Linked DNA regions of Rattus norvegicus. The protein of the gene in region 4 purifies or fractionates together with the protein of the main gene of each other region. This does not show direct contact. Links are inferred from orthologs where the notes say so. Each region holds a gene or a part of one and is shown on either strand. Other genes may lie near its edges.

Evidence for each region.
Region 1: the proteins of Plk1 (region 4) and Ccdc6 purify together in Homo sapiens (affinity purification with mass spectrometry; 3 studies listed by BioGRID and IntAct, with this or other methods). This does not show direct contact. The link is inferred for Rattus norvegicus from reciprocal best matches to the Homo sapiens genes PLK1 and CCDC6.
Region 2: the proteins of Plk1 (region 4) and Mtmr4 purify together in Homo sapiens (affinity purification with mass spectrometry; 3 studies listed by BioGRID, with this or other methods). This does not show direct contact. The link is inferred for Rattus norvegicus from reciprocal best matches to the Homo sapiens genes PLK1 and MTMR4.
Region 3: the proteins of Plk1 (region 4) and Prrc1 purify together in Homo sapiens (affinity purification with mass spectrometry; 3 studies listed by BioGRID and IntAct, counting the BioPlex papers as one, with this or other methods). This does not show direct contact. The link is inferred for Rattus norvegicus from reciprocal best matches to the Homo sapiens genes PLK1 and PRRC1.
Region 5: the proteins of Plk1 (region 4) and Cdc27 purify together in Homo sapiens (affinity purification with mass spectrometry; 4 studies listed by BioGRID and IntAct, with this or other methods). This does not show direct contact. The link is inferred for Rattus norvegicus from reciprocal best matches to the Homo sapiens genes PLK1 and CDC27.
Region 6: the proteins of Plk1 (region 4) and Mastl purify together in Homo sapiens (affinity purification with mass spectrometry; 3 studies listed by BioGRID and IntAct, with this or other methods). This does not show direct contact. The link is inferred for Rattus norvegicus from reciprocal best matches to the Homo sapiens genes PLK1 and MASTL.
Region 7: the proteins of Plk1 (region 4) and Bora purify together in Homo sapiens (affinity purification with mass spectrometry; 12 studies listed by BioGRID and IntAct, counting the BioPlex papers as one, with this or other methods). This does not show direct contact. The link is inferred for Rattus norvegicus from reciprocal best matches to the Homo sapiens genes PLK1 and BORA.

Annotation. Positions count from the first base shown.
Region 1 is NC_086038.1:18,447,228-18,450,727, reverse strand, and holds part of Ccdc6 (coiled-coil domain containing 6), read left to right. Parts: intron 1-2,075; coding exon 2,076-2,232; intron 2,233-3,500.
Region 2 is NC_086028.1:72,893,665-72,897,164, reverse strand, and holds part of Mtmr4 (myotubularin-related protein 4), read right to left. Parts: intron 1,997-3,500; coding exon 1,907-1,996; intron 1,579-1,906; coding exon 1,462-1,578; intron 694-1,461; coding exon 611-693; intron 1-610. UniProt on the Homo sapiens protein: Lipid phosphatase that specifically dephosphorylates the D-3 position of phosphatidylinositol 3-phosphate and phosphatidylinositol 3,5-bisphosphate, generating phosphatidylinositol and phosphatidylinositol 5-phosphate.
Region 3 is NC_086036.1:53,024,123-53,027,622, forward strand, and holds part of Prrc1 (protein PRRC1), read left to right. Parts: intron 1-796; coding exon 797-957; intron 958-3,500. UniProt on the Homo sapiens protein: May act as a regulator of the protein kinase A (PKA) activity during embryonic development.
Region 4 is NC_086019.1:186,150,658-186,154,157, reverse strand, and holds part of Plk1 (serine/threonine-protein kinase PLK1), read right to left. Parts: intron 2,375-3,500; coding exon 2,155-2,374; intron 1,044-2,154; exon of another isoform or gene 1-1,043. UniProt on the Homo sapiens protein: Serine/threonine-protein kinase that performs several important functions throughout M phase of the cell cycle, including the regulation of centrosome maturation and spindle assembly, the removal of cohesins from chromosome arms, the inactivation of anaphase-promoting complex/cyclosome (APC/C) inhibitors, and the regulation of mitotic exit and cytokinesis.
Region 5 is NC_086028.1:89,911,771-89,915,270, forward strand, and holds part of Cdc27 (cell division cycle protein 27 homolog), read right to left. Parts: intron 3,223-3,500; coding exon 3,070-3,222; intron 1,318-3,069; coding exon 1,109-1,317; intron 1-1,108. UniProt on the Homo sapiens protein: Component of the anaphase promoting complex/cyclosome (APC/C), a cell cycle-regulated E3 ubiquitin ligase that controls progression through mitosis and the G1 phase of the cell cycle.
Region 6 is NC_086035.1:90,158,092-90,161,321, forward strand, and holds the end of Mastl (serine/threonine-protein kinase greatwall), read right to left. Parts: intron 2,464-3,230; coding exon 2,306-2,463; 3' UTR 501-2,305; downstream 1-500. UniProt on the Homo sapiens protein: Serine/threonine kinase that plays a key role in M phase by acting as a regulator of mitosis entry and maintenance.
Region 7 is NC_086033.1:82,219,220-82,222,719, reverse strand, and holds part of Bora (protein aurora borealis), read right to left. Parts: intron 3,092-3,500; coding exon 3,026-3,091; intron 2,504-3,025; coding exon 2,447-2,503; intron 1,952-2,446; coding exon 1,788-1,951; exon of another isoform or gene 1,720-1,787; coding exon of another isoform or gene 1,711-1,719; intron 1,210-1,710; coding exon 1,074-1,209; intron 1-1,073. UniProt on the Homo sapiens protein: Required for the activation of AURKA at the onset of mitosis.

The DNA.
Region 1 (3,500 bases), on a different chromosome or scaffold from region 4:
ACACCCGGATAAATTCTTTTCGCTGCTACTTCATAACTGTAAGTTTGCTACTGTTGTGAATCTTAGCGGAAACACATGTTTTCTGACAGTCTTCAATGACCCTGTGAAAGGATCATTCAACCCCTAAAGAGGTCTCTACCTATAGGTTGAGGAAGCTGTGTTAATGATTCGTCCTGTCGTCCGTGGGTCTCCAGCTTCATGTCTCAGGTGGCCTGCTCCTCTACGGGTGTATCTGTGACAGCTCCTCAGCCTCCAGCCCCGACTGGAACCTCTTAGGAGTTCCCTGTTGAGCTTTTCAGTCGGCCGTGGGTCTCAGTCCCCATGTGGTCTGTACCTGGGAAGAGGATAGGGAACAGCCTGCTTGTGAGAGGTCACCTGAAGCTGGTTTGATGCCACCCTTACGGATGGCACCTTTGCTTAAATTTCGGGAGGTAGCAGAATATAAGAGTGATGAGATCTCTGAGGAGCTGTTAGAGAGAAGGGTCACAGTGTACCAGCAGAGGGCGCCCAAGGGAGGCCTTGGTGCCAGCCTCCTATGCTTGGGTCGGGACACTGTAGGTGCACTGGGGTTCTGGTGTATCTGGGTTAGAGTGATACGTTGACAGTTCTACCTGGCCTGACATCTTATCCGGAAGTTATCATAGCTGATGATGTATTTTTGTTACAGTGTATCTTTGTTGGAGACAGGGTCTCACAGGTGCTGGGAACATAGGCAGGTGTCCCATGTGCAGTTTGAACTGCAGTTTTCTCTGAAAATACAATGCGGAGCCTTTGGGATCTTCGGTTCTGGGGACTCTTGCTGTAGCCGCTGACTGGTCAACAGTAGGTATGCCCAGAGCCACCGGGTGCTTCCTCCTGAGCCCGATGAGCACCCATGCACACAGGCACACTTGGGGAGACTTAATTTAAGCTGTTCATATTAAAAGCGAGCTTTGTGTGCATCCCCACCCCCGTCGCTTCAATTAAGAAGACCTTGCATGTGGATTAGGCAGCGCGGTCTCAGGCTGCATTCAACCCAGCCAAGAGGTTTAGTATTTCGTCTACATAGTAGGGTCCGATAATCCGAGCATTTTAATTTCCAAAACAGAGTTCGGGTTGAAGAGACAGTCCAGTGGTTAAGTCTATTTCAGTGCTCACACGGAGGATCTCCCTTCAGTTCCCAACCGCTGTCCTGTCAGCTCGAAGGATCGGAAGTCCGCCTGCCTCCCTGGGCATTGTACATTAGTGTCAATGTCATCAGAAGTCATTGGGCAGGCAGGATGGCTCAGTGAGTAGAGGCGACCTGAGTTTGATCCCCAGAGCCCAAGTGATGGAAGCCATTCCCAGAGGTTGTGTTCTCTCTCTCTCTCTCTCTCTCTCTCTCTCTCTCTCTCCCTCTCCCTCTCCCTCTCCCTCTCTCTCCCTCTCTCTCCCTCTCTCTCCCTCTCTCTCCCTCTCTCTCCCTCTCTCTCCCTCTCTCTCCCTCTCTCCCTCTCTCCCTCTCCCTCTCTCTCTCTCTCTCTCTCTCTCTCTCTCTCACACACACACACACACACACACACACACACACACACACACACACACACACGGCTTATGTACAGTCGGTGAGGGAAAGAGGTTTTGCTCACTGTGTAAAGTTCTGTTTTACAAGACTTATCCGTAACTGAGTGTATTCTGCTGACACACTGATCTCAGAGTTGCCCCGCTGTGCATGGTAGATGTGCTAATGGGGTGACAACCCCCCCCCCGTGGCCTGTTTAGAGTGGACAGGCGGCCTAGAGGGAAACCAGTGGGCAATCTATCTCCCTAACTGTTCTTGCTTTCTCTCAGCCCCCACAGTGGAGAAGGGAGTCTTACAAGGTAGTCAGTGAAACGCTCCAGCCCCGTTTCCTGTGTGGGCCCTGGAGCCCCTGTGGAGCCGCTGTCCTGTGAATGGGTGCCCTGCCCGTTAGATTATCCATAACTGAATGTAACTTATAAACCTTGATGCTCAGGCTAAATTTTAAACCTCGGTCTCACGTGGTAGGACAAGGCCACCCCAATGTGGGGTGATGACTGCGCGAAACACAGTTTAATCGCAGGCTCTGTCTTTCCAGATTCGGAGAAGATGGCCCAGTACTTGGAGGAGGAGCGGCACATGAGGGAAGAGAACCTGCGTCTGCAGCGGAAGCTCCAGAGGGAGATGGAGAGAAGGGAAGCCCTGTGTCGCCAGCTCTCCGAGAGCGAGTCCAGCTTGGAGATGGACGATGAGAGGTTTGCTCACATCCCCTGCCCCGCTCTCACCCATCCCCCACCCCCACTCTCACACACATACACCGGGGAACCCAGTGCCCTCTTGGCTTCCGGCCAGATGGCCGCCATGTATGTGGTGTATACAGTGCACTTGCAGGCATGTTAAATTAGATCTTACGCGTTCTAGAAGGGGGAAGCTTAAACATCACTCGGACTGTGAGGAACACCATGGAGTTAAAGCACTTGCTCACGGTAGGGTGTGTGCAAGATTGAATGCCCTGCTTGCCCCGGAGAGGAAGAGCTGGCCTTCGTTTTGCTTTTAAATTTTTAGCATCCACGTTTAAAGGAATGTAAGCAGAAATGCTAGAGAAATATATTTGCTGCCGACCCTATTTCTAGTAACAGGAGTAAGTAAGTTCACACACGTGGATACGGACAGCACGGGCGAGTTTTATCTGGATTTTCTCCAAGTCTGCTTTAATTGAATTGCAAATATTTCAGTGATTTTTTTTTTTTTCTGGCTTTAGGGGTTTTTGTTTTGTTTTTTAATGTTAATTCGTTTGTCACTAAACCCTGCCAAGCTTTGACAAAAAGTATTCCTTGATAATTTCAAACATGAATATATTGAATTTAGGTCATTTTTTTTTTAACCCCATGACTCTCAACTCTCTCAACCCCTCCCCCTTCTCCTCTTCAACCCCCCTCCCCTGTCTTTGTTTTAAACCCCACTGAGTTTACTGGCTCTGACCTTTGACTCAGTGTCCTGGCTATGAGACCACACTTGTACACGGGCCTTTTATATGTGCTGCATATTGTTAACTACCTGTCCATTCTGCAGCCCGCAAAGATTCTCTGCCATTCTGTGGGCTTCCTCTTCAACGGTGGTTCTGATGGTTCTCAACCTGTGGGTCGGCACCCCCATTGGGCTCTCCTATCAGGTCCCCCTGCATATCAGATACGTTACGATTCATAATAGCAAGATTGCAGTTACAAAGTAGCAACAAAGTAATTTTATGGTTGGGTTGTCACCACACCATGAGGAAGCTGTGTTAAAGGTCACAGCGTTAGGAAGGTTGAGAACCACTGGTTTGCAGCATTTGTTTCCTTTGGGTCTTTGTTTCATGCGGTGCCGCTTATCAGTTCTTGGTATGACTTCCTGAGCCATTGGAGTTTTCTTCAGAAAACAGCGCCTGTATCTTTAAGTTTCAAGCCTTCGGGCCTCACATCAAAGTCTTTGGCCCCTTTTGAGATGATCTTTGTACAATTTCCATTCTGCTCCGAGCTCAGCA
Region 2 (3,500 bases), on a different chromosome or scaffold from region 4:
CACTCCTCATAGCCCTTCAGCACACCTTTCCCTCAGATACCAGCTTGGTCACGTTCCTCAGATCCTGACTCCAGCCACCCTTTATCTCCAGTCAGCTGGTTAAAGCTAGTCCAGTCACCCTTTATCTCCAGTCAGCTGGTTAAAGCTAGAACCTGCTAAAACTTTTCTTGATTTTACTTTGAATTTTACACTTATCATTTAAAGTATTTCCCGTATTTACTGCAGAGCCTCCCCGCTGGAGTATAGGCTCCTTTAGGGCAGGAGTTTTTGTCTGTGAGTTCTTGGATGGAGCTGCAGTACATAAACTGTGGTGCAAATTGCTCAATAAACTGACATAACTTACGTGAGAGCACTGTGCTTAACACTAACCCAGGGGCTCATACTCATTACCTCAAGTAGTCCTCACAATGGCTCCATCCCCATTTTAGTTCAAGTCAAAATGGGTTAGCAAAGTGACCTCCCGACTAAGAACAGAGAAGTGAGATGTCACTTTTCCCCCAATAGGGAACGGAAAGTGGAGTTGGTCCTCTTACTCCAAGGGTACCCTACAGCAGAGAGGTCTGCACAAGATGAGAGTCAGAGAACAAGAACAAGGCCCCCCCGTGCTCACCTCACCACTTTAGAGTCCTTGCAGGCAATGTGCAACTGAAACATATCACGGCTTTCCACACTGTCAATCATACGGAGGGGCACCTGCAGAGGAAGAGCAAAGTGAGGTCCAGGGGCCCCCAGCCTGAGAGGTGTCGAGCCAATGAAGGGAAGGAAGCCAGCATCTACTGAGGGTCTGCTAGGGCATGGTGACCCTACCGGGTGCTTCCCATGTCACCAGTTAATACCATAAGAATCCTGAAGGCAGGAGATTTTATTCAATAAGGAGGACATCATCACTTGTCCAAGGTAACACAGAGTGACAGTGCAAGAAAAAGGGTCACATCTGCCTGGCTCTTCTAATAGATAATGCCACTGTGGCTCAAAGGTTAGGAGCACTGGCTGCTCTTGCAGAGGATCTAGGTTTAGTTCCCAGCACCCACATGCTTGTCACAACCTCTTGTAACTTCAGTTTAGTCATCTGGTCTCCTCAGGCAAAGGCACGAATATGGTACATAGACAGACAGACAGATAGACACTAACAAACATACAATCAGAATAAACAAGCTAGGCAGGGGTTCACACACCTTTAGTTCCAGCACTGGGGAGACAGAGGTAGGTAAATCTCTGAGTTTGAGGCCAGCCTGGTCTACAGGGGGGAGTGCCAGGACAACCAAGGCTACACAGAGAAACCCTGTCCTAAGAGACAGGTAAACCTGTACACAGAGGAATGAGATAAGAAATACCGAGGCCAATGGGAAGGGAATCCCAACTATTTTTCAAGTCATAATCTGGTCAAGCACTGGAACAATACCACTTTGAAGTACATGAGGACTTTGACTTTGGTGTGAGGAAAATAAGACAAGAACTTACGTTGATGACAGAGTCTTTGAACTTGATATGCAGCCGGTAGTTGGAGATTGCAATGAGGGCATCAGCTGCCCGGCCCAGGAATTCCACTCCCTCACCCTGTAGCACTGTGAAGGGTACCTGAAAAAGGTCAGAGAAGCCCTCAGCCCACAAGACAGTCTCTCCCTTGTTTTTCTCTGCAGCCCTGTTCTTTAGCAGACCCTGAGGAAAAGGGAGATGATGCAGGAGTCAAGTCAGGACGCTGGTCATCTGCTGTCCAGGAAAACTGCCTCTCCCCTTCCCTAAGGCCAAAGGCACATAATGCACAGACTGACGAACACAGGAGCCCACTCCCTTCAGAGGCCCAGGAGGAAGCCGGGGCTCTGGTATATCCTCTAAAGATTTGAAAGTCTGGAACACAAACTGGGCAGGAAGCCCCTCCCACCATGAGCATCCTGTTCCTCCTTACCTGAAGATTTTCCTCCTCCTTCACCAGTTCCTTGGGGGGGAACAGATCCTTGGCTTGGATGTACTCCAGGCTGGGGGGGCCCTCCTCACCCTGCAGGGAGGCCATAACCTTGAGTTTGCCACCCGACCTGGCTCCTCTCACTCTCCTCCTCTACCAACAAACCCACCAACACCTTCCTTTGTGTTTAACGATTCTGGCTCCTAGAGGAGGGAAGGAAGACCTGGCTTGGCAGGAGAAAGGGTGAAATAAAGTGGTACTCAGGGAAAAGTGAGCTAAGCCAAGAAGGAACTGAGAATTTGCTCCATTTAAAGAGACTTCTCCTTTGAACCAAAACTGCAAAAACCCAAGGAAGGAAGGGAACTAAGAAAGACTCCTATCAGAATAAGACAAGAGCAGGACTGGGAAAGAGACACCTGAGGCACAGGAGCCAGCTGTGGTAGCTGGATAGAGAGAAAGGAAATCAGGCCCTTCTAGCCTCTCGAGCATCAACCTGGTGGGTGGAGACAAAGAGGAGGAGGTTGGGGGGATTCGGTCCCATGCCTCTAGAGGGCCTTTGTGAATGCCTTCAAAAAGGAAGACGTGTTTTGGAGCTGAGCTGATCTTCCCATTGGGCTCTCGATGCTGATAAGCCCCCACTACCTGTCAAGCAACCTGCCCCGCCTGCTGATCTGAGGGGAATTCCTAAGGAATACCCATAGCTAGCTGAAGTCACTCTGCTCCCAAACACCAAGAGAGAAGAAAAGAGAGAATCCATGCTCAGGGAGGAAGCAGGAGACCCAAGGACAGCCAGGGGAGAGAGAAGGCCTGGCAGACACCTACGGGGGAGGGGGGGGCACGACATCTGAGAGGACAGATGGGGGAAGCTGGGAAGGAGCATTAGCCAGGGGGAGGAGGGGAAGACTGGGGATGATTCAGAGATACAGAACCCTGCAGAGGCAAGGAAGATGGAGAAAAGAGGCTGTCTGGGGGACAGTCAAGGAGAAAAGACTGGTATGTCAGGTGAACGATGGAGTATGTGTGGGAGAGGGGACTGGAGACCTAGAGACAGCTCACAAACATCTAAGCTTCTCTTTCAGCCCCATAACATCCCACACAGCCTACTAGGCACATCCTACATCCCCAAGCAAGGATATGGCGGGTGGGACCAAGATGGAGAGGAGGAGGTAATGGGATGTACCCCTGCAGGGCGGGGCCTGGAAATCTGCAGTCAAGGGCAGTGACTGCAGAGTCAGAAAGAATCACAGAATTTGCATCCCCAGTACCCGCTTTCTTGAAGCAAGTCAGAGAAAAGAGCTAACCCACTTCCCCTGTCCCTAAGGTTTGGGGTCATGCCGGGGTCTTTGGGCAGGACTGTGGGTACAGCGTGCGTTGGGTGCTCCCCCAACCCCCGCCCCAGGCCCTGGCAGGACAGGCCTGGCACTTACGAAGCAGCTAAGCATGGAGCAGGAGACGCGGGCGGTCAGGCTCATGGTCGCGGGCTGTCTGGACCAGCGCACATGTCCCGGGAGCCGCTGCGCTGCCCGCCAGCCCCGGACGCCCGCTGCATCCCGGCTGCGGGGCCCGCCTGATGCAGCTGCGGCCAGAAGCGAGCACC
Region 3 (3,500 bases), on a different chromosome or scaffold from region 4:
GAGGAGTAATTTAGCTTTGATTATTTAGTATCCAATTTGGCTTATCTGCCTTTACAGATAAAATGTATTCTGGAGCATAAGAATTATGTGGTTATCTCTCTGTGTGTGTGTGTGTGTGTGTGTGTGTGTGTGTGTGTGTGTGTATGTGTGTGTGTATGCACGCGCCTGAGTATATGTATGGCCACCTTATGCATACAGATGCCTTCAGAGGCCAGAAAAGCTGTTGGATCTTCTGCAGTTGGAGTTACAGATGGTTGTGAAGCCATCTAGTGTGGGTGCAGGAGCAGCCAGTGCTATTAGCTGAGAACCCTCTCTCTAGCCCCAACGGGTATTTTCTTTCGGGAGTGTATGGATTATATATACACAGTATACATACATACATACATACATACATACATACATACATACATATGTATGATTATTATTATTTTTTAAGAGGGACTTGAGTGCTCAATTCAATTCTTTGTTTGGATTAAGGAGAGTAGAAATACACCAGTCATCTAAATGTTGAATAGGCACTCACACACACACACACACACACACCCCCTATATGTGTGTATATGTGTGCTTAGATTTGTTGTTTTTTAGGATGCTCTGTAAACCTATGTAAAAGGGGAAACACCTTTTAAGGGGTTTTTTACATTTATTTTTATAAAACTTTCAGTTAATAACCTCCTTTTAGGTGCTTACGTGATTCTATTATTGAATTCGGTTTGAGATTCTCGCATGCTGCATCTTTTTATAGGAAAACATTTGTGGAATAAATTACACAACTAAATTTTTTGCCATTGACTAGGTATTTTGCCAGCCCCCATTACTCAGCAAGCCAGTATGACATCGCTGGCACAGGGACCTGGAACCACATCAGCCATTACTTTCCCAGAGGAGCAAGAAGATCCTAGAATTAGCAGAGGCCAGGATGACGCACCTGCTGGAGGGATCTGGGGTTTTATTAAGGTAAGGGTGCTTGCTTTTCAAGCTGCTGTGCAAACGGTAGAGAGACTTCTGAGAACACAGAATAGAGCAAGGGGAAGAAGCCCTTTATGGCCGGATTCTGTAGTTCCTCTTGTCGTTTGTCTGTGTTTGTACATTTGTCTCTGTGTGTCCGTTTGTCTGTGCATGTCTGTATACATGTACTTATTCTCTTACTAAGACTCCAGTTGGATTAGGGACATGGTCATTGTATTCCTTGTCTTAATGAAGTTCTTCTTTGAATTAATGAAGACTAGAAGACTTTATTAATGTCTTCCAAGCTGTAAAATTGTCTGACTGACTGACTGACTGACTTTGTTTCTTGAGCGTTCAGAGTCTGCTTATGTTTGAGTGGGGTGCATTCGTGCAGGTGTATGTGTGTGCGTGTGAATGAATGTGGAGGCCAACTGAAGGGTCTTCCTCTGTTCCTCACGTTATTTTTGGTTCAGGGTCTGTCGTTCAATTTGGAATTTGTCAGTCAGCGAGGCTGGCTTGCCAGTGAGCTGCAAGGTGCCCTCATGTGTATCCCACTCAAGTGCCAGGGCTTGAGACCTGTGCTGCAGTGCTCTGCCTTTTATCTGGGTGCTGTTGATCTGAGCCCAGGTCCTCGTGCTTCAGTGAGGTTTACCATTGAATCAGCCCCCCAGCGCTAACAGTCGTTCGTTAGAATATAGTTTCTTCATAACTACTTTTGTAGCTATTGCATTTGTCATGTTTTATTTTACAAATCTGTTATCAGTATCATCCGGTTATAAGTTTTAAAATCACTTTAATGAGAAAAATGTGTAAACATTCCATATTTTTTATTGTTTTTGGTGGTATTGAGGATTGGACCCAGAGCCTTATATACACTGATAAACACTTTATTTCTCAGCCTGAGCCCTGGGTCTCTACTTTGATTTTTGATAGAGTCTCATCCAGTTGCCTAGGTCAGTCTGGCATTCACTCAGTATCCCAGGCTGGCCCGAAGCTTACAGTCCTCCTCCTGCTGCCAGGCTTGTGACAGGGATCACAGGCCTGCATCATCAGCCTGGCTAACACGATGTCTCCATTGGACTCTGTAATGATCCCTTAGGATTTTAATCCTGAGACATAAACTGATGAGCACTGTCGTGCGTACGCCTGGACGGGCTTCACTGGCATCACGAGTTCCTGATGAACGTCCAGTGTGTGCCCTCGAACTTCCTGTTGCTTCCCAGTGGCCACACTACCCTGTGGGGTTCTGCATTCTCCACTTCCTGGTGTAGCAAAGGATGTTAGTGTGAAGTACAATGTTTATTTTCCTGATTTAATAGACGAAATCATTTGAAACTGTGTGTGTGTGTGTGTGTGTGTGTGTGTGTGTGTGTGACAGAGAGAGAGAGAGAGAGAGACAGAGACACAGAGAGACACAGAGAGACCCACAGAGACACAGAGAGAGACACAGAGAGACCCACAGAGACACAGAGAGAGACACAGAGAGAGACACAGAGAGAGACAGAGAACACACATACATACGTGTATTGCACGTGTGTGGAGGCCTAGGGTTGACACAGAGTATCTTCTGTGACTGGTCTCCACCTAGTACTGAAGTCAGGTTTGCTGCACCCGAGCTTTGGTTGGGACCAATCTGGCTGGTCAGCTTGCCCTGCCTCTCCCTCCTGGGCCTTGGGATTGCATGTGGCCACCACACCCACTCAGTTTTTATGTGGGTTCTGGGGATCCCAGCTCTGGTCCTCATATGTGTGATGCAAGGACTTTAGCTGACAAGCCAGCCCCTAACCTTGAAGCCATATTTTAATTTTTGCTTCTTAGCTATTAAATTTGGTCCCTCCGTGAAATTTTGTTTTATGTGGTCTGTGTTTATCTTTGCTCAGTTTAAAGTTGGGAGGAAGATTTGCTTTTCTGGCTTTGTTACGAGCTCTGACTGAAGCAGTACTCTTTTATGATAGACACAGTATAACTTTTTCCATTTAAATCTACATTTTGATTTTATTATACTTTTTCAACACACAAGTTCTTAAATGTTCAGAAGCCATTTCTGTGAATCTCTTTCAGTTCTACATGCTGAAAGACAGCATTTTCATGCTGAAAGACGACGTTTTCATTCCATCTATTGCTGCGACAAAACACTATGACCAAAAATCAATTGGGGGGGGGTGTTATTTGGCTTATACTTCCAGATCACAGTCCATTAATGGAGGAAGTCGAGATAGGAACTCAAACAGGGATGGAACCTGGAGGCAGGAGCTGATACAGAGGAGTGCTGCTTACTGGCCTGCTCATCTTGTCTTGCTCAGTCTGGTTTCTTACAGAAACCAGGACCAGCAGCCCTGGGATTGCGCCACCTACTATGGGCTGGGCCCTCCTCCACTAATTGGGAAAATGCCTTACAGTTGGATCTCATGGAGGCATTTCCTTAACTGATGCTCCTTCCTCTCTGATGACTCTAGCTTGTCTTAAGTTGACACACAAAACCTGAGGGAGAATGGTTCCTTTTTAGCTGTGGCCACTGGTAAGTTTCCTGTGCTCTGGCGGATGTCCACATC
Region 4 (3,500 bases):
ATCCAAGCAGCTTGGGCCACATGAAACGCTGTCTCAAAAAGGGAAAAAAATAAAAATTACAGTAATGGCTACCACTAAAACCGGTGGGCAACAATTAGATGAACTCCTACAGTTTCAAACACCTTCCTGCAAGATTCTTATTAGTTACCAAGGCAACAGTGTCTGCAGCAGAGACAGCCTTGTCTCCCTGACACTGAAAAGAGCAAACCCTTCACAGCATTCTTGCTCAGAATGCAGAACCTCAGTGCAATCCTGAGGAAGCATCAAATCCAATGGAAATCAACTCATCAGTGCCAAAAGTGTCAATCAAGGTCACAAGACAAAAGGAAAAACTCAGAGACTGTCACAGGCTGGAGGAAACTAGGGAGCCAAGGTCACTAACTGGCCCGTGAGGTACTGACTTGTATTCTGGTGATGTAATGGGAAATCTGGTTGATCGATGTGGGGCCTGGGCTTTGTTGACAGGATTATCTTGTAGCTAACACTTCAGTTTTGGTAATTCTGCTATGCTTAAAGAGAGATGCTGACTGTGGAAGAAGCTGGGTGGAGGGTACACAGGAATTTAGCTTTATTTTGTCTTTTAAACTTTTGTATAACCCTAGCATTACTGCAAAATAAACCAAGTAATTGAGTCAGGTATGAAGCACTCATTTGAAATCCCAGCACCTGTCTCAAAGCACCAAAAACAAAACTAAGCCACCCTAGCCTCTTGCCTAAAAATGGAAATCTAACCGAAACAGATGCACTGAGAATTTTATACTAAACACTAGTTTTATAACTAACTCCACAGAGAACAAAGCCTACAAGCTACCTCTCAAAGACCATAGCTCTTAATAAAATATATTAACGAGAAATAAGACTACATGGGCTGGAGAGACGGCTCAGCAGTTAAGAACCTGACTGCTCTTCCAGGGGTCCTGAGTTCAATTCCCAGCACCCACATGGTGACTCACAACCATCTGTAATGGGATCTGATGCCCCCTTCTGGTGTGTCTGACAGTGTACTCACATACATAAAATAAATAAATAAATCAAAAAAATAAGACTACATGATGATGATGATGATGATGATGATGATGATGAATACAGTGGCACAGTCCCAAGCCCAGCACTGTGGAGGGTAAGGCAGGGGGATTTCAAACCCGAGTCAGCATGGTGATAGTCTGTCTCAAAAAAAGAGGAGGAGGGAGGGACAGTAAAAAACAGAAAAGCAAACACTGCTGCCAGGCAAGGTGGCTCACTCACACCTTTGCTCTTAGCACTTGGAAGGCAGAGGCAGGTGGATCTCCTGAGTTGGAGGCCAGCCTGGGTTATATAGTGAAGCCTTGTTTCCAAAAAGGAAAAAAAAAGGAAACAAAACAAAAAGAGAGAAAAGAACAAGAAAAAAAGAACCTTTACAGCACTGTGAGATGAATGCTCAGTCCTGAAGCTGATGCTGGTGTCTGTCACAGCGCGCAGACGCTTTCCTCGAGGAAAGCTCGCTCTCAAGCAGTTAAAGAAACACATAGGGCTGATGATGCATCAACAGAATGTAAGCAGACTGGGAGAGCATTTGTCCCTCTACCTTTTTATAAGTGTGGACAATGATGAATATTAGAATATGAATCAGAAAGACTCTGATCTCTAAAGAGCTCTAGACACAAAAGCTATCCAAGCAGGGGCAAGGGATGCTGGAGTTTTGAGGAAAGATGCATACTTTAGTACAAGAGTAAAATGGCAGACTCCTGGAGTTGGCTGTCTCGACTTTTCCAAAGTGAGATGAGCTGATACAAACCTGCAATTCTGTAGTCAGCAGGGCCCTAGACAGGAGGACTGATTTCAAGAGCAGCCTGGGTGACAGAAAGACCTTTTCTTGACAAAGCACAAACACTCAGAGAACAAAGGGTGCTTGGAGTGACCAGGGTTGGGCATGCTGAGAATGAGAACTGAGGATAGGTACCACGGCATGCTCCATGTATGCACCAGAAAACTTCCAGCTTTCTCCAAACTGTGCAAGGGAGATCTTAGGTACTCTTTACATAGGTTGATTCAGTTGGTTTTTCCTGCCAAGGGCGGAGGGCAGAAGGGCCCAGGGGAGGGATGAGGCAGTAAGGCACACACACCCTGAAATGTACCCCGGAAACCTGGGCTCTCTTCTGCCCGGACTGATCTTACCTTTATTAAGGACTGTGAGAGGCTTCCTGTTGCTGGGGTCTAGGCTGCTGGGAGCTATTGAAAACCTTGGTGGGATGGTGAGGCAGGTAATAGGCAGACGGGCGGGGATGTAGCCGGAAGTGAAGAACTCGTCATTGAGCAACTCGTGAATGGTGGGGCGGGCAGTGGGGTCTGTCTGAAGCATTTTCTGGATGAGGGAGGCAGCCACTGGGTTGATGTGCTGGAATGGAGAGGCAGAGCCGAAATGAGAGGAGACAGGGACCCTAGCCAGCATGCGGCTGCTCCTGTGTATAACATACCACTGCTCAGTGGCCCTGAGTTCCACCAAGTCCTCCACCCAGCCTTAGCAATATTGATAAGAAGGATCATTTCTTGCCACTTGGCACTCAAGATTAACCTGGGATACCCACCCCTTGCCCTTTCAAAGGACATTAAGTTATCTACAAGAGGGCACCCAGGTCCCAAGACCTGCCTAGTTCCACCCCCTTGATTCCACCTATAACAAATAACCTGGGCTTTCTGAAGCCTAACAAGGCAGACCTATAAAATGGGGAACCCCTCCAGGATGACTTAATGAGAAAAAACCTAACACGGGCCTGTCCCTCACAGCATTAATTCTTGCTTATGCACTCCTGTACAGTACCCATTTGGCCCTCACAAAAACACCTAAAAGATTCTCTCCTCCCTTTCCCTCTCTATATAATTAGAAAGGAAACAGGGTCTCACTATATAGCTAAGGCTATCTGGAACTTGCAATCCTCCTGCCTCAGCCTTCCAAGTGCTAGGACTACAGGTGTGTACATCTCCACTATTAGGCCTCACTTATAGATGAGGAAACAGGAGTGCCCTGTCTGAGAATACACATTGCCTCAGTAAGAAAGCCAGGACCAATTATACCACAGCAGTCCATGCTGTCTGCAGTGAGCTGACCTTCTGTGACATCTTCTCTATGTACAAGTCAAGGATGCTGACTTTAAAGTGCCTATGAGAACCAGTCCCCAGAAATGAGCTATCCCTGCAAGTGGATTTATGACACTGGATGTGAAAAGGGATGCTGCTCTGTCATTGGGAAGCTCTTGGGGAAACTCCCACTTTGCAGACGCAGAGCCTGGTTCATGAGAGTAAGACCAACTCCTTTGTTAGGCGCAGCACAGCTGGATGGAGATGGTGCGTGTTCCAGGTGTAAGAGTGTTTGCCCCCTCTCCCCCTGCTCTTTACATCCCCCTCAGGAAGTCTAAAGACATGGGCTGGGCACGGGGCTCTGGTAGAGTGCTTGCTAGTACACCAGAAAGCCAGCCTGGTGGCAGGCACATGCCTGTAATCTCAGCTCTTGGAAGGTAGAGCAG
Region 5 (3,500 bases), on a different chromosome or scaffold from region 4:
ATATAGCAATATAATTTACATATTAAATAAAACACCATATAGGGTGGTTTAAACAAAAGAAAAAAATGGGGTGGGGATTGCAGGTTAGAAAAACTCTTCTTCCTGAACATTTTTTGTTTTGTTTTTTAAGACAGGGTTTTCTCTGTGTAGCCCTGGCTGTCCTGTAACTCCTTCTGTAGATCAGGCCGGTCTCAAACTCAGAGATTTGCCTGGCCTGCCTCTGCCTCCTCAGGGCTGAGACTAAAGGTATGTGCCACCGTCACCTGGCTTTTTTTTCTACCTGGGTGAATGCAACAATCTACTCACTGACCAGCGATGTTTAGTTTCTATTGGGTTAATGGTTCATAAAATTAAAAAAACAAAGACCAACTTTTCATCATCACTGTCTCAAAGGAATAACACATGGATTCATTTGGAAAGTAAAAATGGTTCTTCGAATATGAATATCAGTACAAAGGAAGAGTTAACACATCTACCACAAAATCCAAAACAGAACAACAAAAAACTTACAGTAGGGTTGAAACTGAAAAATACAAGTCTTATATCTGCTTCCTAACTCATGTATCCTTTTGCTTAAACTTTGTCCTTTCTTATTACCTAATAGTACCTTTTCTTGGTCTCTTTTCTAAATTTTTAGACTTTACTTTCTAGAATAGAAAGAATCCAGGGCTTCATGTACGTAAGGCAAGCATCAGCTTCTACCTCCGGGCCCTACTCTGTCTGAGTTCCTGTCCTGACTTCCTCTGAGGAGTAATAGCAATATGGAAGTGTAAGTCAAATAAACCCTTCCTTCCGTATTTGCTTTTTGGTAATGGAATTTTGTCACAACAATAGTAACCCTAACTAAGACACCAGGCCTGCATGTGATGTACGTAATACATACATATATACGAGCACAATAGGCATACCTAAAAAAAAAAAATCATAAAAAGAAGAAGAGCCACTCCTTGGGTAAAGGTGCGCGTTGCCAAGCCTGGAGAAAAGGCTTGCAATGCTCTTCTAACCTCCACTGTTTGCTGTGGCCCACACAGCCCATACAGACACAATATACACAAATTAAATTAAATAAATAAAACGATCTTTAGTAAGACTTTGTCTCTTTACTTACCATGCATTATAATGTCTGGGATTTACTCTTATAGCATTTCGAAAACATGCTAATGCTTTATCTAGTTCTTCAGTTAACACAAATTCATGTCCTAATAGAGTATAGGCATAAGCATAATTTGGATCCACCTGGATAGCTCTTTGGAAGAATTTAATTGCTATATCATGCTCCCGTTGTAGACTGAAACAATTCCCTGCAGCACACCAAGCCTGACAAAACAGAAACAAGAACTAGTCAGTTAAAAGTTTTTATGCTCTATAAAGAAAACTATCGTCAAAAGTAACTTACAATTTTAATTTAATTTTGACCTAAAAAACTGTGTGTGGTGTGAGTGTGGATCCTTGCTTTCCAGCTTGTTTGAGTCAGGGTCTGTGTTGTCTGTGGTGTGCAGCAGGCTAGCTGCCTGCAAGCTTGCCAGGGTTTGCCTGTCTCTGCTTCCCATCTCCTCCCTGTAGAGGTGCTGGTATCCAGCAGTTTAACCACACTATGCCTGGCGTTTATGTGGGTTCTGGAGATTCAAATTCAGGTTCTCATGTTAGCACAACCATTGTTACCCATTAAGCCATTTCTCTGACCAAATTTTTATTTTACTTTTTAACAAAACCAATCCTGTGACAAAATCAAGTCTCAGATTTTATTTACAGGACAAAACCCTGAAGAAATTCAAATTTTTGACTATGATTTTCTCTTTTTAAAAACTCTTACTCATACACAAATTCCACATGTGCAGGTTAGAGCAGAGTGTTTTTCTTTGATAGAGTTTCTCTGTGTAATCTTGTCTGTCCTGGAACTCACTTAGTAGACACCAGGATGGCTTTGAACTTGGAGATCTATTTGCCTGCCTTTGCCTCTTGAGTGTGGGATTAAAAGCATGTGGCATCACAATTGGCTTAGGAGAATGGTTTCAGGGAGCTGGTTTTCTCCTATCACTATGTGTTCTGGAAATAGGACTCAGGGCGCCAGTGTGCACAGCAAATTTTCACCGGCAGAGCCATCTCCCTAGCACCTATTGAAGCTATCTTACTGGCCATGTTTTTTTTTTTTTTTAATTTTCTTAAAGATGATATAATATCAGTATTTAATAATATTAGTATTTAATCTGTCCTCCTGTGAATTTGTACACTTGTGAAGTTTACAGAGGCCAGAAGAGAACAGCAATTTGAATCCAGGTTTGCGTGCACTTCACTAAAGTATCACTAAAAACCATCTGAGTGGCTGTGATTCCGGCTGTGGGAATGAGAGGTTCAAAAGTTAAAGAACAGCCTAGGGAAAACAGCAAGGTCCTGACACCAGGGACGAACAAAGACCTTCAAATAAATGTCCTGAAATACTTACTACAAGATTAGTACATATGAATCAATCTATGTCTGTCTTCAAATGGCAATTAAGGGCCAGCAAAACGACTCAGTGGGTAAGAGGGCTTGCTGCCAAGCCTGATGACCTGGAGTTGAATCCTTGGAGTCCACATTATTTAAAGAAAAATGGACTCTCAAATGTTGTCTCCTAAAATCCAAATATACTCACTATGGCATGTATGTGCTCCCACACACAAAATCTGGTTGGATTTTTTGAAGGTTGAAGTTCTGTTTGGCTGTCTGGACAGGCCTTCCAAGAACTGAGTGACAACCAAGAGTCACCAAGCATGGCTTTTTGGCATGTGTGAGAAGAGTCTTTCTGAAACAACCTCATGAAGTCCAGAGTTAGTAACAAACTAGCTGTGTAGTGAATAACTCAATTGTTTTGTAATTATATCTTATGACACTTTGCAAAAATGACAAAAAATTACCTAACAATGCACTTGCCAGAATGTATCATTACGTGATACAGGACTATATTTGTTCTGGTGATCAAAAGCTATGTTGGGGTCAAAGATTATGTGCCTAGCATACCTACAGTGCTGGGTTCCAGACCAGCACTGCACCCAAAAATTAAACGAGTAAAACAGACTGCTGTTAGCATACCTCTGGTGAATTCTTATCCATGTCTGTTAAATCTTTTGAAAGAACCGAAAGAGCAACATCTTTCTGAAGATGCCAGAGTGTTGTAGAGTAGATCTCCATACCCTCAACTCTGAAACTCTCAATCCTTCTAACTTCTGAGAATATTCTTTCAGCCTAAAATTAAAGAACTAGTGAGTGAACTGTACAGACAGACAGACTAGTGCAGGTTATTGTCGTCACAGGACCAAATTTCTGCAAGGACTGTGCTTTATGGGAATCAGTATGGAGAGAAATCACTGTGAGAGGTCAAATACTGAGGCATTAGCCTAGTTCCTGTATTTTAACTAGGGATAAAGATGTAAAGTCTGAAAAAAAATTTCTATTAAAAAAAAAAAAAAACAAAAAAAAAGACAAAGATGGGGCTGGAGCAATGGCTGCCCGACAGAGGACCT
Region 6 (3,230 bases), on a different chromosome or scaffold from region 4:
TAGGGGCTATTGAGATGTCTCAGTGGTTAAGAGCACTGGCTATTATTCCTCCAGAGGACCTGGGTTCAATTAATAGCATCCACAAGGCAGCTCACGATTGTCTGTATCCAGCTTCAGGAGTTTTGACACCTTCACAAATATACACATCCAGGCATAATACCTAACACATTGCACATTAAAAAACAAACAAAAACTTGTCAGGCAGGGATGGTGCACAATATTATTTGCAGCACTCTAGACTCAGAGGCAGGCAGATCTCTGAGTTTGAGGCCAATCTGGTCTATAGGAGAAGCAGAGCTACACAAAGAAACCCTTCTTGAAAAACTAAAAGAGCATGCTGAGAGTGACTTGAGCCTTTTGAAACTTGAGTGCTCACCTCCAGTGACACACCTAATCCCTCCCAAACAGTTCCATCAAACAGGGACCAAGTATTCAAATGTGAGTCTATGGGAGCCATTCTCACTCAGTCACACAATAAAAGAAACAACACTGCTAGAACATAGGTTAAATAATCTTGAAAGGAGAAATAATTTTTTAAAATCATATTCTGTACATACAAGTAAAAGAAAATGAAACATAAATGTGCAAAGTGTTTATGATTCACTCTGTGAAAACAGGGAAAGTAGAAAAAAGCATTTTACAAAAACTATAGTGTCTTCCCATCCTTCTCTTCTGCATACTTACATATGTTTCCCTGTTTATTCAGCCATCCATTTACAGACTTTCCTATTCCAGTGATATATTCATGTGGCCCCACCCAGGCAAGCCAGGAACTCTCAAGGATCCACAGCAGAATTTAATTTTACTATAACCAATTGTCCAATGATTTAATTTAAGAAGCCACTAGGGGCTTGCTTCTGCAGACTCACTTTTAACAATACCCATAGCTGGGGTCCAGTGCTCTGGTAAGCCATGACTTGTGAACCTCAGGTTTATTAATGTGGCTCTGCTTATCCTAATTCCTCAATTACTGTTTGTGTATGGTGGGGATTGAACACGGGGTCCTTGGCACACTAAGCATTTGCTCCCTCCAGCATCTTCATGCTCACTTTTAACCTGCCCACATCATTTCAGTTTAGTAGCAGTCATTTAGGTATTTTTTTGATTCTAAAGGTTTCTTTCTAATCTTGAAAACACTCTAAGAGGATGATAGAGTAAACAGACTGTAGAATTATGCTGTCACCTGAAAGTGAGTCTTAGTAAAGGAAGCTGTAAATATATTTGAATATTTTTAGTAAAAAAGGTAACTGGAACACTAAGTAGTCTTTACTAAAATAAGTACAGTAAGGACTCTATACCCAGCACTGATTATGCATCTTTGCAAACTGTATTCTATCTGGGCTGTGACTGGGTGGCAGTGGAAGCACTAAAGTCAGTATGCAAGCAGGCATTAGCAAAAACCTTCCCTATGGTACACGTACGTCTTAATTTTGCTCTTCTAGGGAAATATCAAAAGCCTCAATTAGTTTGAGATAAGACTTTTGACCTGAGTCTTAGTACATACTTGAAAAGACCAATACTGAAGTCACTAGTTACAGTTACAAGTAATTATAATTGTTACTATTTGTCTCTCGCAGTGTTTGAAAGGATCTGATGTAAAGTATAAATTTTTCTATTAAAAGTGAAGAAGCTATTAAAATCACTTAAAGTATCACACCCAGCCTTTCCACTACCCGTTTAAACAAGCAGGAATTGTAGAGGGAAGCACCAAGAGCATTCAAGGCAGTGAGATTCCATCATAAGTAAGATGAGTTAGAACCTTAATTCTTTTGACTAGTTCACCCTCAGCAGAGACATACTGATGAGAAATACAGTCCTGGCTGGCCTGAGTCTTCAAATTGCAGTCATAATCCTGTGTTACATCTGCTCTTGAATATGGGAACTTCCACCACGATGTCTGGGTCAAACGATTTTCAGTCATGTTTGTCTCATATGACAGCCCCGAGAACAGCTTAGGATGTAACCATGTGCAAATAAACACCAAAGTGAACAGAACTAACATCAACAGATACATACAAGCTTATGGTTCATCCCCTCTGTTTAGAGTGGTAGTGCTGTTTTAGTTTATTGAGACATTGCTCTTCATAAAGTGCAGTGAATAAATAAGATGAAAAAAGCCATGATGCCTTATGTACAGTTCTAAGGTAGAGATTACTGTTTATATTTTTTACAGTATTTTAACTCTGTAAAAGCTGTTGTACTCATTAAAACTGTTTAGCCTCGGTACAATAATGACTTATTCCGTGTAGATGAATCTAGTGTTAAAATTCTATATCACAAGTTAGATAGAAATGGCATGCATGTGCTACAGACTGAACCCAGATATGGTCAGATGCTGAGCATTGTTCCTGGCTTCAAAGTAGGATGTATCTGTTTCGTTGTCTGGTTGGGGCACGAAAGGCATAGTCTGATGCTGCAGATTCTCCCAGTCCACTTCACTGAAGAGAGGATGATGTTTCAGTTCTAAAGAGGGAAATACATATAAAAAACAAAAACAGAGTCTGATACCATTACTTAAGCTTTGCTTCTTAGATGGATCCGACTTTATCATGGCACTCTCAGTAATACCTTTTTAATGTGTCTCCCTAGTAGGCTACATGCTTTATACTGTGTCATTTTGCAGTGTCTGGTGTATTATAGTTGCCTGGATTGTATGTTAAGTCAGTGAATGGATGTTGTAGAAGTGCATCTTTCTTGATGCCAGCATCCTGTCATACAATCCCTCACCTGAAGATTGTTTGGCTTGCGATCTCTATCTCTGGAGCTCCTAATTAATGCTTCAATTCTCACTTACCTTCTCAACCACCTGTCATATCATGGCAATCTCTAAGACCATCTATTGCCCTACAACTTAAGGATGAAGTTCATCTTTCACTCTTTGCTTTCTATACTTCACCTTTGTGTATGCACATTCCACACATGATGATTTGCTGTATATTTAACTTACTGCCCTTTTGCTTACTGTCTTTTTGTTTATGTGTTTGTAGAGTTTTTACACTACAGCTCAAGTTGACCTGGAAATCACTGTATAGCTCCAGCTGAATGTTTTTACAGTCTTCTTCCTTAGCCTCTCAAGTGCTGGATTCACAGGCATTCATGTATCAGCATGTATCGCTTGGTTCTGGTCTTGGATGACATTCCTACACATTCTCTCCATTGTCTCTGACTTACCTGACTCCACTGACTACATCTTTAGAATTTAGTAGCTAGCACTATGGATAGATCTAGAA
Region 7 (3,500 bases), on a different chromosome or scaffold from region 4:
CGTAGTGCTAGGGATGGAACATACACATCAAACAGCATAGACAACATATAGCATATTCTACACTGAAATACATCACCAGTCTTTTTAAAAATATGGCATTTTTTGACTGTTTATAAAGTCAAGAGTGGTTCTATATGTATGAGGAACCTGACATTCTATTCTATTTTATGTAACATTTTTTAGTTTTTGATATTGTAATAACATAATTTCCCCTTCTCAGTACTTTTGATAAACACTCCTATACAGCACTGCTTCCTCCAAATTCACAGCTTCGTTTTGTGTTGTATCCATGCGTGTTCCTAAATATGTAAGTATAACCTGTTCAGTCTACGTTACATACATACATGCATACATGCATGCATACATACAAATGGTTTTAGGGCTCACCACATTAGCATGTCTATTGGTGCTGTCCCTGTTTAGGACATGTTTAGGCAGTCATGATGGTGAGACTTCATGGATGTTGGTTCTAGGACAATACACCAGACTCCCTGTTCCTCAGGCACATCCCTTTTTTTTTTCTGAGACAGAGTCTTTGTCTTAAGTCATAGTTCTACTGCTATTAAGAAACACCAAGGTAATAGCAACTCTTACAGAAGAAAACATTCTGTTAGGGCCTGCTTACAGTTTCAGGGGGTTAGTCTGTTACCATCATGGTGGTGCGAATGGTGAGGAAGCAGTTCACCTGATCAGCAGGCCTGGGAGAGAGACTAGGCCTGGCACAGGCTTTTGAACCTCCATCAAGACCACAACTCCTAATCCTGGTTCATTCAAAGAACCCCACTCCCTATGACTATGCATTCAAATATATGAGCCAATGAGGGCCATTCTTACTCAACCACAACAGCCTTACTAGGTAGCTCAGTGCTTGAATTCATGATCCTCCTGCCTCTACCTCCCAAGTACTAGGATGTAGAGCATAAGCTCCTACATTTGATTTACACTGTTCCTTTTGTTTAAAAAATGTTTCTACAAGTGAATAGCAAAGTGTTCATTTGTAACTGTTAAAAGAGCCTTTTTAAACAACAAAAGCCGGCAGCACAATTGGAGCTGTGTATTATTCCGAGAAGTACCTGACAGTGGTGTCTTTCCTACTTGAAGTGCAATTGGTGAGAACGTAGGTGAACAGATAGCCGATGGGCTGGTGGTTAAGCTTCCCAAACTGTACTTTTTTGCATTGTTCTGAATGGGGCTGGAAGAAAACTGTCCCTGTGATACAAAATAAAATTAAAAAATAAAAATCAAGCCAGCAATTGGTGAATATATTTAATTTCTTTGTCGTGGTTATGCGGCATGTTCTTTGTCGTCTTCACAACATGTTTATAAACTCGGAGTCCACAAAAACCAACAACAAAAGGCACCATGGGGCTGCTAAAGAATTCTTGAAATAAGATTTCAACACAAATGAGTTGGGTTTAAACAAGTCATTCACTGCATTTCATAGCAAGTAGTTGTCTATGAAAATACCTCTAATTTACTCCATCAATGCTAATCCAGTTGTCATACGGCTACTCTCTTGTTAATTCAGTAAGTAACCCAGGCTGCGATTCTTTGAGATAATTTGCTCACCTATCTACCTCTAAATACAGAGCTGGAGTCTGCTGGGATCACACATACAAACTGAGAAGATTCCCAGGATACGTAATGCCAAGGGGAACATTCCTGATGTGATTTGAGTATTCACTCGAAGCACATCTATGACACACTAACCAGCCACATCTTATGGCACACGGTGTCTGCACAGGGTTGCTAGAGTGCAAAGGAGACAAATCCATTGGAGAAAACACCTCAAGAGATCCTCGGGCACTGTTGGGAGGACTTCTGGGAGAAGCTGAAGGTAAGGAGTCGGAGATGCTCCCATTCACGTCTAAAAAGAGCTTTCTCCTGAGAGACGAAGAACTGAGGTTCCCGGGAGATTGGTCCACAGAGTCATCCGCTCTAAAGTAGTCTCCTATATTCACCAATAACAGAAGGAAAGCTGGTCATTGGAAGAAGAAACCACACTTACAGCAACTCATTTTTAAAAAAGTCATAAAACAGGTTTGAATTTTTTTCAATACATGTGAATAATGCTTAAAATGATATTTATTTTTTGAGTGTTTCATTCTTTATTTGCTGTTTTTATTGTTTTGAGTCAGGGCCTTACTATGGAACCCAGTCTGGTCTTGAACTTGTAGCAATCCACCTGTCTCAGCCTGCTGACTGCCAGGAGTGTGCCACCATGCCCGACTTGTTATCAGTGTTGTACCAGCACCATTTAAATGTTTATCATTTGCTGCCCACAGTAAAGGTCACCATAATAAAAACACCAACTCAGGTCACATTCAAGAAACAGAAAAACTTTAGGACAGTTTCCTGTTTAATGACAAGACCCCCATTCACAAAAAGCCAACAAAATGAAAACCTCTGACCTAGTTATGAAATACTCAAGTCATACAGCATTTACCTAATACGGCTTCCAAATTAAAATCCACAGGAAGAGACAACAGAGTCTGGCAGGCAGCTGAAAAGAAGCAAAGACATTGGAAGTGTGTGAGGGCCAGGGTATGTGTGGCGCATAGCCCGCCAACCAGCCTTCTCCTCAGCAGGCTCGGAGGAGAGCCAGACTGCTGGTGCGCTCTACTCCTGCCCCACCACCTTCTGCTTCATTTCCCACAGCTTCCTGATCGGAGCTAACGGCATTAGTCAGCCCGGTCTGAGACTGACCTGGAACTGAACAAGACACCAGCAGACACTAGGATTCTCATATGAACACATCATCTACATTTTCTTTAAATCTTTCCCAAACCAGAAATCAATTCACAATTCACATATTTTACATAAGAAAGCAACACATGATTGCTATTTTTCTAAAGCGTGGCTGAATACAATCTGTTCAACATATCGGTTTTTAAAAGTCAGTTCTTTTACAGCTCAATCACAAAACAATGTCCTAATTTGAAATGAACGGTACGATTCGAACTCTGTTTATATTAATGCAGCTTACTATGCAACACGCTCCTTTCCAGACACCGCTCATACCCACCATTGCATTTCTGAGAAGGGAGACTCGGCTTTTTCCCAACAGGAGAGTCACCATTGCTAGTTAGGCCTGCAAAATATTTTAATTAGAAAAATCATAATTTTATATTTAATTCAGTGTTACATTTTCTAGAATAAAACGCTATATATCAGTTTTTCATATTTTAAGGATAAATACTTAAACTTATAATTTTGGTATGTTTCTGTTGGGTTACTTAACAAAGAAAAATAAAAGGTTACCACACCAATAAGAAGGTATCATGTAATTACTAGTTTTCATGACAGATAATTATATGTGGTTTTGGTACAAAATTAATGTTTTGATACATATATACATTGCTGAATGAGCACATAAGGCCAATATATCTCATAAAATCTGTGCCATTTAATTTTCCTAAAATGGATTTAGAGAAACTCAATTAAAATATTAGATTATTTTGACAAAAAGAAGAAACCCTGAACTGTGATGAATAAAACTC